Linked DNA regions of Pelodiscus sinensis. The protein of the gene in region 1 interacts with the protein of each later gene in a biochemical or structural test. Links are inferred from orthologs where the notes say so. Each region holds a gene or a part of one and is shown on either strand. Other genes may lie near its edges.

The links.
Region 2: the proteins of DNAJC3 (region 1) and THAP12 form a complex in vitro, tested with the Homo sapiens proteins (2 studies listed by BioGRID). The link is inferred for Pelodiscus sinensis from reciprocal best matches to the Homo sapiens genes DNAJC3 and THAP12.

What each region holds. Positions count from the first base shown.
Region 1 is NC_134711.1:251,329,798-251,337,550, forward strand, and holds the start of DNAJC3 (dnaJ homolog subfamily C member 3), read right to left. Parts: upstream 3,056-7,753; 5' UTR 2,901-3,055; coding exon 2,819-2,900; intron 1-2,818. UniProt on the Homo sapiens protein: Involved in the unfolded protein response (UPR) during endoplasmic reticulum (ER) stress.
Region 2 is NC_134711.1:318,773,744-318,780,747, reverse strand, and holds the start of THAP12 (52 kDa repressor of the inhibitor of the protein kinase), read right to left. Parts: upstream 3,035-7,004; 5' UTR 1,159-3,034; coding exon 1,061-1,158; intron 97-1,060; exon of another isoform or gene 1-96. UniProt on the Homo sapiens protein: Upstream regulator of interferon-induced serine/threonine protein kinase R (PKR). May block the PKR-inhibitory function of DNAJC3, resulting in restoration of kinase activity and suppression of cell growth.

The sequences.
Region 1 (7,753 bases):
AGTTACAACAGTTAACTCCAGCATCATCTCTTCCCCCCCATCTTCAGTACTGTCCTGGAAGAGAATCCAATACTCTCTCTGGTTTTAAGGACAGTTTGTTACTGAAAATGCAGCTTCTGTTCCAGGAGAGAAGAGATTAACACAGCCTCCAGGAGGGTGGAAACCTCACAACCCTCCCTGTTTATAAATCTCTATTTCATTATTTAACTTTGTTAGCGCTGTATCAAGAATAAGAAGAAACTAAAAATGTACAGTGTACCTGTACAAAATGATCTACAGCTATGGAAAATGTGAGTTGTGTATTACATTAACTACACATATACTAACATAATCTCTTATGAAGTAACCTTTTAAACACAGAAATTAGAGATAAGAGAAACCGAATAGATCATATTTTGGCCATCCTAATGTCTGTAGAATTGTTCCAAGTAAGAGTGCTTTGTCCAGAATAGGTTTAAAGCGGCACCCTTCCCTGGGAAAAGTTTTTTACAATATAATAAAGCTTGCTATTAGGAAAAATATATACAAAATTAGAAAGTAAACTTGTGACTACCAAGGCCACAATCAGCAAAGCACTAAGGTCATCCATGCTACTTGGAAACAGATTTGGAAGATGAATTATCTACAGATGCTTAAAAACAAGTTCAAATGCTTACACCGATTCCTCTGGCATTAGTACAGTTTCATTAACATAACTGCAGAAGTATCAGGGGGAGCAAACAGTACAGTAGCAGCACATAAACTACTGTCACATTACATTCAATATTAAATTATCAGGAAGCCAGTACACTCTAGTTTTTAGAGTTCTCATTTAACACAACCTTGAAGTGCATTTCTAACCTCCAGAGTGACCATAAAGTGACTACGTGTTCAATTTTCGACAGGAACACGTGATCAAAAAGGGATCCTGGCGGTTCTAAGCTCTTACTGTCCAGTCGGCAGTGCCGCACAGGCTCTCCCTGCTAGCCTCTGCACTGGGCAGCTCCCAGGAAACATATCCCCCCTCTGGCTTCTATGCATAAGGGGGTCAGGGGCTCCATATTCTGTTGTGGCTCCAAGCACCACCCCATCACTTCTGTTAGGTAGGAGTCATGGCCAATGGGAGCTGTAGGGGTAGTACCTACAGATGGGGCAGTGCCCAAAGCCACATGATTGCACTTTTGTGAAAGAACCAGAGGGGGGCTATGCTGGCTGCTTCCGGGAGTTGTTTGAGGTAAGCTCTGCCCAGAGTTTGCACCCTTCCTGGGCCCCAACCCCCTGTCCTAGCCTTGATCCTCTCCAAACCCATTTATCCCAGCCCAGAGCACCTTTCTACACTCCCAAATCCCTCAAACCTGGCTCACAACCTCATCTTGAGCCTCCCCCCCCATACCCTAATCCCTGAGCCAAACTGATGAAAATGAACATACAACTTGCGGGGGGGGGGGGGGGGGGGGGAGAGACAGGAGGGGAGACAGAGAATTCAGAGGAAGGCCTCTGAGAAAGGCATAATAAGTGTTTTCCATTTTGTGCAAGTAGAAAGTTAGCAACCCAAAGTGACCACAGCCCACAGAAAGGTCCAGATTCACTCTGAGTTCTTACAATTCAACAGCCACCCCCTCCTATTTTATTCATTACAAACAATAATACAAAAAATTGCAGCCAAATTGTGCCTTCTGGTGCATCTGTACAATTTATTTTCAAACTATGCCCTCACAAACACTTGTGCAATCCCGTTAGCTTTCTATGATTACACAGATGTTACTTGTGACAATCTGAAACTTAAAAAGATGCACAAGTGTAATGGAGGGAATAATTTCTTCTGAAGAACTACTACTCCTGGCAGTAATGAATTATTAAAAAAAACAACAAGCACCTAACTTGATTACCAGAAATGAGAACATTCTTACAGGGCTAGAAGTTAATAGAAGTCTTTTTACATGAATATTGAACAAATCTATAATACCATTTCCACATGGCCACTTTTTAAGCTAAATTCACACTTTTAAAATCTTTCCCTAGTTTCTTTTGACTAAGAATAGAAACCAAATTAAAACTGCACTTACTGTAGTGCAACAAAACAAAGCTACAACACAAAGCTAGAAATGTCATTAATTTGAGGATATTTAAAAACAGTTAATGATGATGCTGCATTTGTTATTTTCATCTTTTTCTGAATATCTATTTGAAGTTAGAACTTTAAGAAATATTTATTGTTTTCAAAGTGACTGTCTGCAGCCCCCAACTAGAAGTTACAAACTTTTCTATTTTTTTACTGTCATATTTCTCTAGTTGTGCCCAGAATTTAAGGACAGTGTGCCTGCAACAGTCTCAACTCCAGTTTAGAGTCCCTGCCCATCACAGCTTTCTTTCCCTTCAATACGCACAGGCTGGCATTGCCCTCAAGTCCAGCACAGATATGCTCTCCGTGACAGGAGGCATCATGCCAGAGCAGCCAGCACAAGGCTGCGGCAGTGAGACCCTCAAAGCCTCAGCATACTACTCAAGGGTGTTCCTGTGGAAGGTAACCCTGTGATGTGGGGATACGTGAGAGCGCTCAGGGAAATGCGGGCTTCCCTGTGGTGAGCATCTCATTGCACTCACCAAACCAAACCCCGACCCCAATTCTAACCCTGGCGGCGTCCCTGCACCAACCCGGCGCTACGCCCAGGGCCCAGACGCTGCTCTGCCCCATGCTCACCCCACCGTGTAAACCTCCCCCAAACTCAGCACCACGACACCTGCCACATGATGAGCAGCAGCAGCCGCCGCCCCGTCCCCCCTCTCAGCGTGCAGCGCCGTGCACCAGCGCGGGCAGGCTCGCCCCGCAGCCCCTCACCCTCGCCGAGCAGGTCGCAGAGCACCAGCAGCAGGGGCAGCACGGCGCCCAGCTGGCCGAGGCACGCGCTGGCCGACACCATGGCTACAGCACGCGGCTGCGAAGGGACCCCCGGCCACGCGCCTCCAGCAGGCTTCAGCGACTCCACTTCCAAGTTCGCTGGGGTGGATCGTGGGCGCCTCCGATTGGCTGCGCCGCCGCCGCCGGCCCCGCCCCCTGCTTGGGAAACGTGGAGAGCCCGGAGGACTAGTCAGGCGCCGCTCCCTTGACAGCATCGCGCTTGCGCGCTGGTGTGTCTATGGGGGGGGTTGAGCATGCGCAGGAGCCACAGTTGAAGCTGCCAGTTAAAGACTGTGCCCTCAGCCGTCAAAAGAACGTGGTGGGTGTTGGGAGGGGGAAGCGTGAAGGGCAGCAGCAGCAGCAGCAGGAGGGAACAAATGCGAGAGGCTTGTATGGCTGCTTTGAGTGTCAGGGCTTTGCAGCTGAGTGGGGATGAGTCATTAAAGCCCCAATCTGGTCCAAAATCTTAACTCAGTGGCCCTGAGTCTTTCTGGGGCCAGGACCCACAGAAAGGAAGAAGAATCGTCCTGAGACACCAGCATATGCTACAGTCATTTTAGTGGATAGGGATTTTGGGATTTGAGGTCTCAGGAGGAGAAGCCTCAGGTTGCTGGTCATAGCATAGTGGAAGCAGGGCCAGCCCAACCCATACGGGTGAACTAGGCAGTCAGTTAATTAGGGTGCCAGGCTTTAAGAGGCACCAGATACGTTGGAAGTGATTTTTTTCCCTCTGTTTAAAAATCTGTATTCATAGAATACTAGAACTGGATCATCAAGTCCAGTCCCATGACCTCACAGCAAGGCCAAGCACTATCTAGATCATCGGATCCTAAATTGGTAGGCGCACCTGCCGGGAGGGTGGGTTGAAGAAATTCCAAGGGGGCGCAAGGCTGATAAATTTTCATAAAAACAATTATCAGCACAATTTTTTAATTTTCAAATTTCATACCACGAAATGCAAATTTTAATTTTTTTTTTTTTTTTTTGCCTTTTGACATGTAGGGGTACCGGTTCGGTCGGTGGGGAGGCCAAAGAACGATGTAGAAGGCGATGGAACTTTTTCAAACTTTCTAGCATGCTCACAGGGGTGTTCGGGACTGTTCTATTGTGGGAGTAGGTAGCCAGTCTTGCGCGGTGACTGGTAGTGGGGTATATATAAGGCAGCACGCATCTGTACGCAATAGTAGTAGTAAATAAACATTTGCAATAACTTATCAAAGTAACTTGTGCCTGTTAAATTTATTCAAATCAGGAAAATTATAGATTCTAGATCATCCCTGATAGATGTCTATCCAACCTGCTCTTAAATATCTCCAGTGATGGAGATTCCACAACCTCTCTAGGCAACTTATTCCAGTGTTTAACCACCCTGACAATTAGGAAGTTTTTCCTAATGTCCAACTTAAACCTCCCTTGCTGCAATTTAAGCCCATTGCTTCTTGTCCTATCATCAGAGGCCAAGAAGAACAATGAAGTAGCTGATATCTGGGTACTCTTCTGGCCCTGTCCATCTGTTTTTTCACTTTTCTGGAAACTTGACCTTTAATAGTTCCATTCATCTGAAGAAATGGGCTGTGCCCATGAAAACTCATGATATCATCTACATGTTTTGTTAGTCTCTAAGGTGCTGCAAGGCTATTTGTTGTTGTTTTTTAAATTTTTCTCCCTGTTCCTTGTAACACCTTTTAGATACTTGAAAATTGCAATCATGTCCCCTCTCAGTCTCCTCTCCTCTAAACTAAACAAGCCAAATTCTTTCACTCTTCCCTGATAGCTCGTGTTTTCTAGACCTTTAATCATTTTTGATGCTCTTCTCTGGACCTTCTCCAATTTCTTCACATCTTTCTTGAAATGTGGTGACCAGAATTGGACACAATATTCCAGCTGAGGCCTAATCAGTGCAGAGTAGAGCAGAAGAATGACTTCTTGTGTCTTGCTCATAAGACTCCTGTTAATGCCTCCTAGAATCATGTTTTTTTTGTTTTTTTTTTTTTTGCAATAGTGTCACACTGTTGACTCATATTTAGCTTGTGGTCCACTATGACCCCCAGAACTCCTTCTGCAGTACTGCTTCCTAGACAGTCGCTTCCCATTCTGTATGTGTGAAATGGATTGTTCCTTCCTAAGTGGAGTACTTTGCATTTGTCCTTATTAAGCTTCATCTTATTTACCTCAGACCATTTATCCAGTTTGTCCAGGTCATTTTGAATGACCCCATCCTCCAGAGAATTTGAAACCCCTCCCAGCCTGGTATCATATGCAAACTTAATAATCGTACTGTCTATGCCATCATCTAAATCATTGATAAAGATATTGAACAGAACCAGTCCCAAAACAGACCCCTGCGGAACCCCACACGTTATGCCCTTCCAGCAGAATTGTGAACTGTTAATAACTACTCTCTGAGAACGGTTATCCAGCCAATTATGCACCCACCTTATAGTAGCCCCATCTAGGTTGCATTTCTCTTCAGTTGTTTTTCCTCTTAGTCTTGCTTCCCATAGAACCTTCCCTACCTGCTCTCTAAGTTTACTAAAATCTGCCTTCCTGAAATCCATTGTCTCTGTTTTGCTGTTCTCCTTCTACTGTTCATTAGAATCATGAACTCTATGATTTCACGATCATTTTCACCCAAGCTGCCTTCCACTTTCAAATTTTCAATCAGTTCCTGCCTTTTGTTAAAATCAAATCTAAAACAGCTTCTCCCCAGTCACTCTCTCAACCTTCTGAAATAAAAAAAATTGTCTCTAATGCAGTCCACAAATGTATTGGATAATCTGTGCCCTGCTGTGTTGTTTTTCCAACAAATGTCTGGATAGCTAAAGTCCCCCATCACTATTAAATCCTGTGCTTTGGATGATGTTGCTAGTTGTTTAAAAAAAGCCTCACCCACCTCTTTTGCCTGGGTAGGTGATCTGTAGTAGACCCCTACTATTATCCTTTTTAAACCACTGTTAACCAACCCAGAGACTCCTATGTCCATCTCCACCTCAGTTCAAGTGTAAACATTAATATATAAGACAACACCTCCTCCCTTTTTTCTCTGCCTTTCCTTCCTGAGCAAGCTATACCTTTCTATGCCAATATTCCAATTGTGTGTATTGTCCCACAATAATGTTATCTCTTATAAACAGTATAGACTATTGTAAAACAGTGCATCATTGCAATGTTGGAAGTTGAGTTACGTTACTTATTTCCACTACAAGATTTACCCAGCATTGCTCAGTTCATCAATTTCTCTGTATGAATGGGGCGGGGGGAGCTTCATCCCTGCCCTGTAAATGGCCCCTGGGGGGTGGGAAGGTTGGTGGGGCTGGGGATGAGATGTTCAGTGAGAGGTTCAGTATGCAGGCTGCCCTAGGGAGAGAGGACAATCCCAGCCCCCTCTCACTGCAGCAGCTTGGGGCCAGGTGAGAAGTGCCTCTCTCTGGCTGCTGCAGTGGGCACAGATGAGGGAGGGATGTATGTGCAACCCACATACCTTCTGGGTGTGGTGTAATGTCCAATACAGTGACATTTAGACCACTTACAGAGAAAAAGAATGTGTTTATAGCCTTAGCAGAGAGCCTTTTAGCTCAGGATATAAATCAGAGGTTCATGCACTAAGCTCCAGAAGTCCTAGTCTGGATTCTGCCTGTCAGCATTACATATGTCCCCCAGCTGGGGCAGGTTCAGGATCATCTGCCTCTGCTCTCCCCAGCAAGAGTGAAGAATGCAGCAAACTGTTCCCTGACGAAGGGGAACAGACAGCCATGTCCCCATGTGAATCGGGGGACAAGCTTCAGACCTTCAAGGTGAGGCTTGAGAAGAGCAGTTCAGTATGCAGGCTGTCCCAAGGTGAGAGGATTACCCCAGCCCTCTCTCACCACAGCAGCTTGGAGCCAGATGAGAAGTTCCTGTCCATGGCCACTGCACAGTCAGGGGAGGCTGCATGTCCGCTGGGTGGGTGGCAGACAGACAAGACAGACACACAAACTGTCTCAAATTTTTAGTACATGGCCATCTATTTCTCCACCCAAGTCTCCTGCTGCCCCAATTGGAATATAGCTGTCCTGGTTCCCATCTCTGGCCCCTTGCTGCTCCCATGTGGTCATTATACGCATAACTGTCCCTGCTAGCAGAACCCTTCCTTTCCATGTTATGAGAAGAAATCACATTCCAGGCACATCCCATTGTCCTAGCACAACCAAACCCTGACCTTGCTTTTAAATTATTATAGGAGGAACCTGCATAGCAAATTTGGCAGTCCTCGCTCCTACTGTTTAGGAGGAGTTCTCAAACACAGACACTCACTCGCACTAGGCTCTCATTCCACGAGGAGTAATGGTAGTTCGAACTAGGAAGCCTAGTCCGAACTACCTAGTTCGTGCCGCGTGTAGCCGCGCAGCACGGGGTTCGAACCAGCCGGGATTTAAAAATGGCGGCGCCCGGCTTATGCAAATGAAGCCCAGGAAATTCAAATCAGGTGTTTGAAGGGGAGGTTCCGCTGCCTCCTCAATTGCCTGGATGTCGGGAAAGGGAAAATCCCCCACGCAGTGTCCAATATTTGTGAAAGCAGGGAGGAGATGTTCCTCTCAGGATGGGAGGCAGAGGCTGACTGGATTGGCAGAGCCTTTGGGCAGCTGCACATGGCTGCTATCCGGCAGGCCCATCAGGGGGCTGTGTGCATCCGGGTGGTCTTGAGAGAGAGTTTCACACAAGGACCCTGCTGACACTTTCCCCTTAGCCTCCCACAAGGGGCCTGTGCATCATCCCTCTTTGCCTTTCCTCCCACACTCCTCCCTTCCCCTGCCCTCCCTTTCTCCCCTACAGAAACAATAAACTACACTTTTTGTTTTTGAAAAATAAATTGTTTGGTTTTATTTGGGGTAAATG
Region 2 (7,004 bases), about 67 Mb from region 1:
ATGCGCATATCATGCTGCGCCGGCTGTGCCAGCTTGTAATCTATTCGCCACAGGCGAGTAGATTACATGATTTGTCGAGCCCTGTTCATAAGTGATCTGGAAAAGAGAGTAAACAGTGAAGTGGAAAAATTTATAGAGGATACAAAACTATGCCAGATAATTGAGTGAAGAGTGACTGTGAAGACTTACAAAGGCTCTCATAAAACTGAGTGGACAACAAAATGGCAATTAAAATTTGATGTTAATAAATGCAAAGTAATGCACATTTGAAAACATAACAGAATACATATAAAATGATGGGGTCTAAATCAGCTCTTAACACTCAAGAAAAAGATCTTTGAGTCGTGGTGGATAGTTCTCTGAAAACATTTACTCAATGTGCAGCAGCAGCCACAAAAACAAGCCAAATGTTGGGAATCATTGAGAACAGGATAGATAATAAGACAATAAATATCATATTGCCTCTATATAAATCCATGGTACACCCACATCTTGCAAAAGTGATGAGGAGTCCTATGGCACCTTATAGACTAACTGAAGTGTAGGAGCATAAGCTTTCGTGGGCAAAGACCCACTTCGTCAGATGCATGCATCTGACGAAGTGGGTCTTTGCCCATGAAAGCTTATGCTCCTACACTTCAGTTAGTCTATAAGGTGCCACAGGACTTCTCGTCGCTTTTGCAGATTCAGACTAACACGGCTACCCCTCTGATACTTGATACCCACATCTTGAACACTGCATGCAGATCTTTTTGTCCCATCTCAAAAAGGTACAGAGAAGAACAATAAAAAGGATTAGGGATATGGAAAAGTCTCCCTGGCAGTAGAGATTGATAAGAATGGGACATTTCAGCTCAGAAGAGAGATGACTAAAGGTGATTCAATAGTGTTATTTACTCTATCATAATAAGAGCTACAGGTCACCAAAATAAATTAATAGTCAGAAGGTTTAAAACAACAAAAAGAAATATTTCACACAATCTGTGGAACTCTTTACCAGAGGATGCTGTGAAAGTAAGAAGCTGAGAATGGGAGACAGGATGGATCACTTGATGATTACCTGTTCTGTTCATTCCCACTGAAGCATCTGGTATTGGCTACTGCCAGAAGAAAGGGCACTGGGCTAAATGGATCAATGGACTGACCCAGTATGGCCATTCTGAGATACGGTATAATGCCTGAAAATCCACACAAAACCCATACAAGAGTAATGACTGGGTCACTATCATATAAATAGATGTTCTACATCCACCAGCTCCTCCTTGATGTATGCCCCAACCTAAACAAAATCAAAGAGGACCAGAGATGACTGTACAGAATTACAGCATTATGACTGACACTAAGGAGAATTCCTTCTGAGTTACTTCTAATAGAAGTCTTGTTTTCAGTGATATTTTACTTCAACTGATCCAACTTCTAGTTACTCCCCAAATGTTTCCAGCTGAGCTCAGATTTTTCACACTTAGTCTAGATCAGTGTTTCCCAATTTTATTTGGCCACGGAACCCTTTTAAACTCGAAAAATTTTTGCCGAACCCCTAATAGCAGTCTTATATATGGAGTTGAAAAAGTAGGCCACAAATAAGTAAGGATAAAATAATAAACAAATGCTAAACAAGGTCATGAGATCAACATTTAGTTTAACTGCACATATTTAAAAACAAAAAGTCACATTTAGTGTGTACAAAAAAAATGTTAAATCATAAAATGTTATTGTAGTGCAATTTTCTTGAGGAACCCTTATTTTCACATAGAACCACAGGGTTCCATGGAACACCATTTGGGAAACACTGGTCTAGATTTCTTAAAAAAATATTGATTCTGGTAGGATCCCCAGTGGTTATGGGACTATCTCTGCCCCGAACAGAGAAGACACACTACATTCTCCAAAAATGTTTTAAGAAGGGTGTGGAGAGATTTACAAACAAAATCATAGAATATTAGAACTGTAAGGGACCTCAACAGATCAAGTCCAGTCCCCTGACCTCATGGCAGGACCAAGCACGGTCTATATCATCCCTGATACATGTCTGTCTAACCTACTCTTACATATCGCCAGTGATTGCCATTTTTCCGAAAAAACTTCACTTACATCCACACTGCAATCGCGTTCTTTCGAAAGAAAATTGAAAGAACAGAGGGGTTGTTCTGACATTGGTAAACCTCTTTCTATGAGGAAAAAAGCTTTTTTCGGGTCAAGGGCCACTGATCCACAGAAAAAAAATCAGTTAGGGACCACACAAGTGAGAAATAAAAAATTCTTCTCCAAAAATCCCCAACTTTCACTGATGTGGCCCCCAACTGAGACACCTCACTCCTCTGGCGCTCCAGCCTCACAGGGTGAAGGGAAGGGCCAGGGAGGACTGAGGTTCAGGGTTTCTCAGAGGCCAAATTTACTTTTCTGGGGTTCCAGAATTAGTGGATTTTATGGATCCCCTTAAGTCTGGGATAAGGACAAAAATGAGAGGTCTAGTGTGTGAGACAGGGTTGCTAGTGAGTGATGTAGGGAACAGGTGCAGGAGCTGGGAAGGAGATGGGGTGCAGAAGGGGGATAAATTGTGAGGTCTGGATGGGCGATAGGGTGCAGAAGCAAGCTGGGAGTAGGTTGTCTGGCTAGATGGAGGGAGTATGAGGAAACTACGATACAGTGTGTGGCCAGGAGGGAAGGTGTAGGAGTAGGATGGGGGTAGGATGTCTGACCAGGAGGGAGTGCCTGACTAGGAGGGAGGGTGCAGGAGCAAGGGAGGGTGTTGGCGCAAGCTAGGTGGTGCAGGATCCTGGCAGGGGAAGGGGAGTAAGTGAGGGAGACTGGGGTGTGGGTGTCTGCACATGAGGGGAGACGCTTACTTGGCTTCCCACAGCCTTGCAGTTGGGAAAGCCTCACACATCACTGCACTGCCATTCCCCCAGCAGGGTGGAGAGGGGGATGGAGTTCATTTGTGACCCCGCCCCCACACACACACAGCAGGAAGCCTGCTCAGCCAGGAGGCTGCAACACCAGCTCTGGCTTCCTGCTCAGAGGGTATTGGAGGGGGCGGGGGGCAAGAGAGGTGTGAAGAAAGCCTTGAGCTTCCTCACCAGACCCAACTCTCAGCAGAGAGTGTCAGAGCTAGCAGCTCCATGCACTGCCACTCCCCCAGCGGGGTGCAAAGGGGCGGCAGGAGAGTGAGCAGCAGCACATGGAGCGCACCTGCAGTGCCCCAGCCAGAGGCTCCACGTGGCCCCTCCCAGGGCTGAAGCGGCAGCTCCAAGGTGTTGAGGTCCAGAAGCGACTCCACTGGATTTTGCCTCTGACCTGGCAGCCTCCCACATTCAAAGGCAGCATTGGCAGCCGCTGTAATAACAGGCAGCGATCTGGAGGAGGCAGTGGCTGTGCGGCCAGATCAGGGCCCTGCGTGGAAGAGGCAGGCCCACAAGAGAATGGAGGGGGCCGTGCAGCACGCAGTACTGGAGCAGCTGCACCAGGTGGCGGTGGCTTGCTGGGACTCAAACAATCCTCTGGACTCTGGAAACCACATGCCACCAGAAAACACCAAAGCTGCCTGCCGGCAAAGCGCCCAAAATGTATGTTCTCTGTGTGTGCGGGGAGGGGGGGAAGGGGCGGGCAGGGAGGGTATGGAGGCCATTGCTGCTGCACCATGCTAGTATGAGCCTTTCCCAGCTGGGAGAAGGGAAATGGCAATGCACAGAGCTGGGAGGAGGGCGGGGGGCAATGTTTTCCACATGCCAAATCAGGTGGGGAGGTTCATGTGCCAGTGAAAATCATTTTGCGTGCCACTTATGGCATGCATGCCATGTATTGACCACACAGGGGTCAGCCACATAATTTGTACCGACTACACGATTAGTCAATAAGCACTGCTCTGCAGAGCCACAGTGGGGGTAAGCTCCCGGAACCACCTCGAGCCGAGACTGAGCAGTCCTAGCTCGTGCTGGCTCGGGGAAGCCACCCACGCTGCAGCTTTGCATTTTAAATATGTTAAGAGTTTCCAGGATGTTACTGTATTTAAAATGCAGAGGCGCAGTGTCCTGGACCAGCACAAGCTGAACTGGTCACTCCTGGCTCACACTGAGTCCAGCAGCTCGTCTGCAGCAGCCAGGGCAGCCCCTTCACGTGGCCAGCCTGGGCCACTACAAACAGGGGCTGCTTGGTGGAGCAACCTCCCCTCAGATAGAGGCAGCAAAAGGAGTGGGGCAGAGGGTGGCATCACAGAGACAGTGCTGGGAATAACTGGTTTTTAAGCCAGCTCCCTCCAGCAATGTCTCCTGTCCCTCCCCCCTTATTGCCTCTCATACAGAGACGGTGGGGAGGGGGGAGGGGGAAGGAGTGAAGCCAGTAGTTGAGTGCTCCACCAGACTACCTGATAAGCTTATATTTTTAGCGGGTGGTCGAGTAGCTGATTACTCTCTAATCTAACATCTGTAGACAGCACCAAATCTCCTTGATTTTGCAGAAACTGTAGCCATCTTCATTATTCAGTAGAAAAAGGTAGTCTACATAGATCATGCCTGGGCAAAATACCCATTGCAGCCCAGATCCAGCCCGCCAAGCCTCCAGATCTGGCCGGCAAATGGAGTGGAGAGCTTCAGGCAGACTCCCTGCCTGCCCCTGCACATTGCTGAGAAAAGCAACCATTGTGGGGGCTCTGTATGAACAGCTGTGAGCCCAAGGGAGGGGGAAGAGACTTCATGTGCTGCCCCTGCCCCTAGCACAATCCCATTGGCTAGCAGCTTGCAGAGCACCCTCCCTCTCCCTTCAGGCTCCTAGCTATTCAAAAACTACATGGCCCCTGAGGGAGCAGGGCAGGGAGTCTGCTCGAAAAGGCTGCTGGCTAGGAGTCAAGTAGGTAAGTCTCCCAGGCAGAGCCTGCCTCTGGCACTCCAACCCTCTGCCCTTCATCCCACATAACCCAAACCCTATTCCCCCCTTCCTGTTCCCATATCCCCTCCCAAATCCTGCACCCCAATCCTCTGTCCCAGATCAAAACCCAAACCCCTGCATCTTAGCTCCCTTCCCCAGGTCTCAACTGCCTCCTTCACTCAAACTCCCTCCCAGACCTCACACTTTCTCCTGCATCCCAATCCCTTACAGCAAGCTCTCTTCCGTACCCTAACTCCATCCAAAACTTCACACCTCCTCCATTAACATGGAAGACTGCAGCTCTTGACCACTTTTCAAAGTCTTGGATACCCACCCATCAAAAAGTATTGCCCACCATGACACACAATGGATTTCAACAAGCACTATTCTATCTTGATGAAGGAGGTAGACTGGAGGTGGTGCAACATCAGCAGATTAAGGATGATACAGTGTAGTCAAGAACATGGTTAATCAATGAGCCTGGGCTCATCAGTAAAAAAAGCCTTTTGGTTAAATGCAGTCCCTCCCCCTCGCTGCCTCCGATACAGAGGCAGTGGGGGCGGGAGAGAGTGTGACATGAGTCAGTGCATGGAACTGCCTGGCTTTAAAAGCTGGTTTAAAAGCTGGCTCCCCCCCTCTCGCCCCAAGCAACAGTTTCCCCCCCCCCCCCAGCTGCTACCTCCTTCAGAGGCAGCAAGGGGGGGGGGGAAGGGAAATGGGAGCCAGTGCTCATGGGAGCCAGCTCCCACCTCTCCCATCTCCTGTGTCATACCTATTGAAAACTTCAGCAGATACATGTTTACACAAACACATTTTAACATCTGTACAGGAAACACAGGACTACAGATTCAAGTGCCAACTCTTCCAGTATATTAAAGGGTAGATTTACCAAATACCAGGTTACAGAATTCTGCAGGCTGTACATGGTGAGTGGAATGCGTTCTGACCACTATATATTAAGCAGACAGCAAGTCTGATAACCTGCCTTTCAACATCATTTTCAAAAGCAGCCACTGCATTTGGATACTTCAGTGAGGAGAGTGCTCATCCTGGGACAGTTTGGAGCTGATTTTCAGAAGTGCTGAGCATCCATAAATTCCCACTGAACTCATCTGGAGTTGCCACAATTGAAAACCGAGGCCCAAGCAATTTCAGGTGAGCTACCAAGAAGAGAGACAATCCAAACCCGTGAAAATGTTGGCCATAGTGTCTTGTTAAGACTAGGAAAAAAAAAAAAACCTAACTGGCCTTTGACATGCATAGCCCAGTTAGGACCAAGATACACTAGGGAGTTCAATGCTTTGCAGGAGCCTGTTTACCTCTTTGACGGGGTGTTTTCAATGGGAGCTCCTAGCTGTCACCTTCACCCTCCTACCTGGCTCTCATGCCCCCTACCCACTTCACACACCCCCCAGGCCTCTGCCCACCTCACCGCCCATGCAGCCGCCTTCCCCGGCCCCCCTCACACTCCGACCCCGCTCTGCCCCATAGCCCCGGCCCGGCCCACACTGCCCCCGCCCCGCTCCCGTCACTCACTCCGAGCCCCCGGCCGTGTCTGCGCAGCCGCCCGTCCGCCTCCCAGTCCCAGCCCCGGGCCGGAGGCTTGGCCGGAGCCCCGCCCCCGGGAGCCGCGCGCGGCCTCCTCGGGCTCACTGAGGCGAGCGGCTCCGGCTCCAGCCCGTCCCGCCCCGCGCAGCCCTTGGCGGGCCCGGCCCCCCGGCGAGGAGCGACCCCCGGGCAGGCAGGCGGGCGGGAGGCAGTTGGGCCCGGGCGCGCTCCCGGGGTCGCCTCCCCGCCGGGCCAGCCCGCCCGCGGGAGCCGCCAGGCCGGAGCGCGGCGGGTCTCACCTGACCGGGTCGCGGGGGAAGCGGAAGAAGGCCAGGTCGGACTGGGTGCTCTTGCGCGTGCAGTTGGGAGCCGCGCAGAAGTTCGGCATGGTCCCCGTGCCGGGTCCCTGCCCCTTTAAATCCGCGCTCCCTCCGGGCCGGAGGGCGGGGGGGGGGGAGGGGAAGCGGCTCTACACTGCTGTGAGCGGCCGGGAGGATTCACCGCCACCCTCCTCCGGGACAGAGCCGCCTCCTTCCCACCAGGCACCGCGCCCGACAGCGGGGTGGCGCGCACGCGCTGCAAGCCGCCCGAGGGCG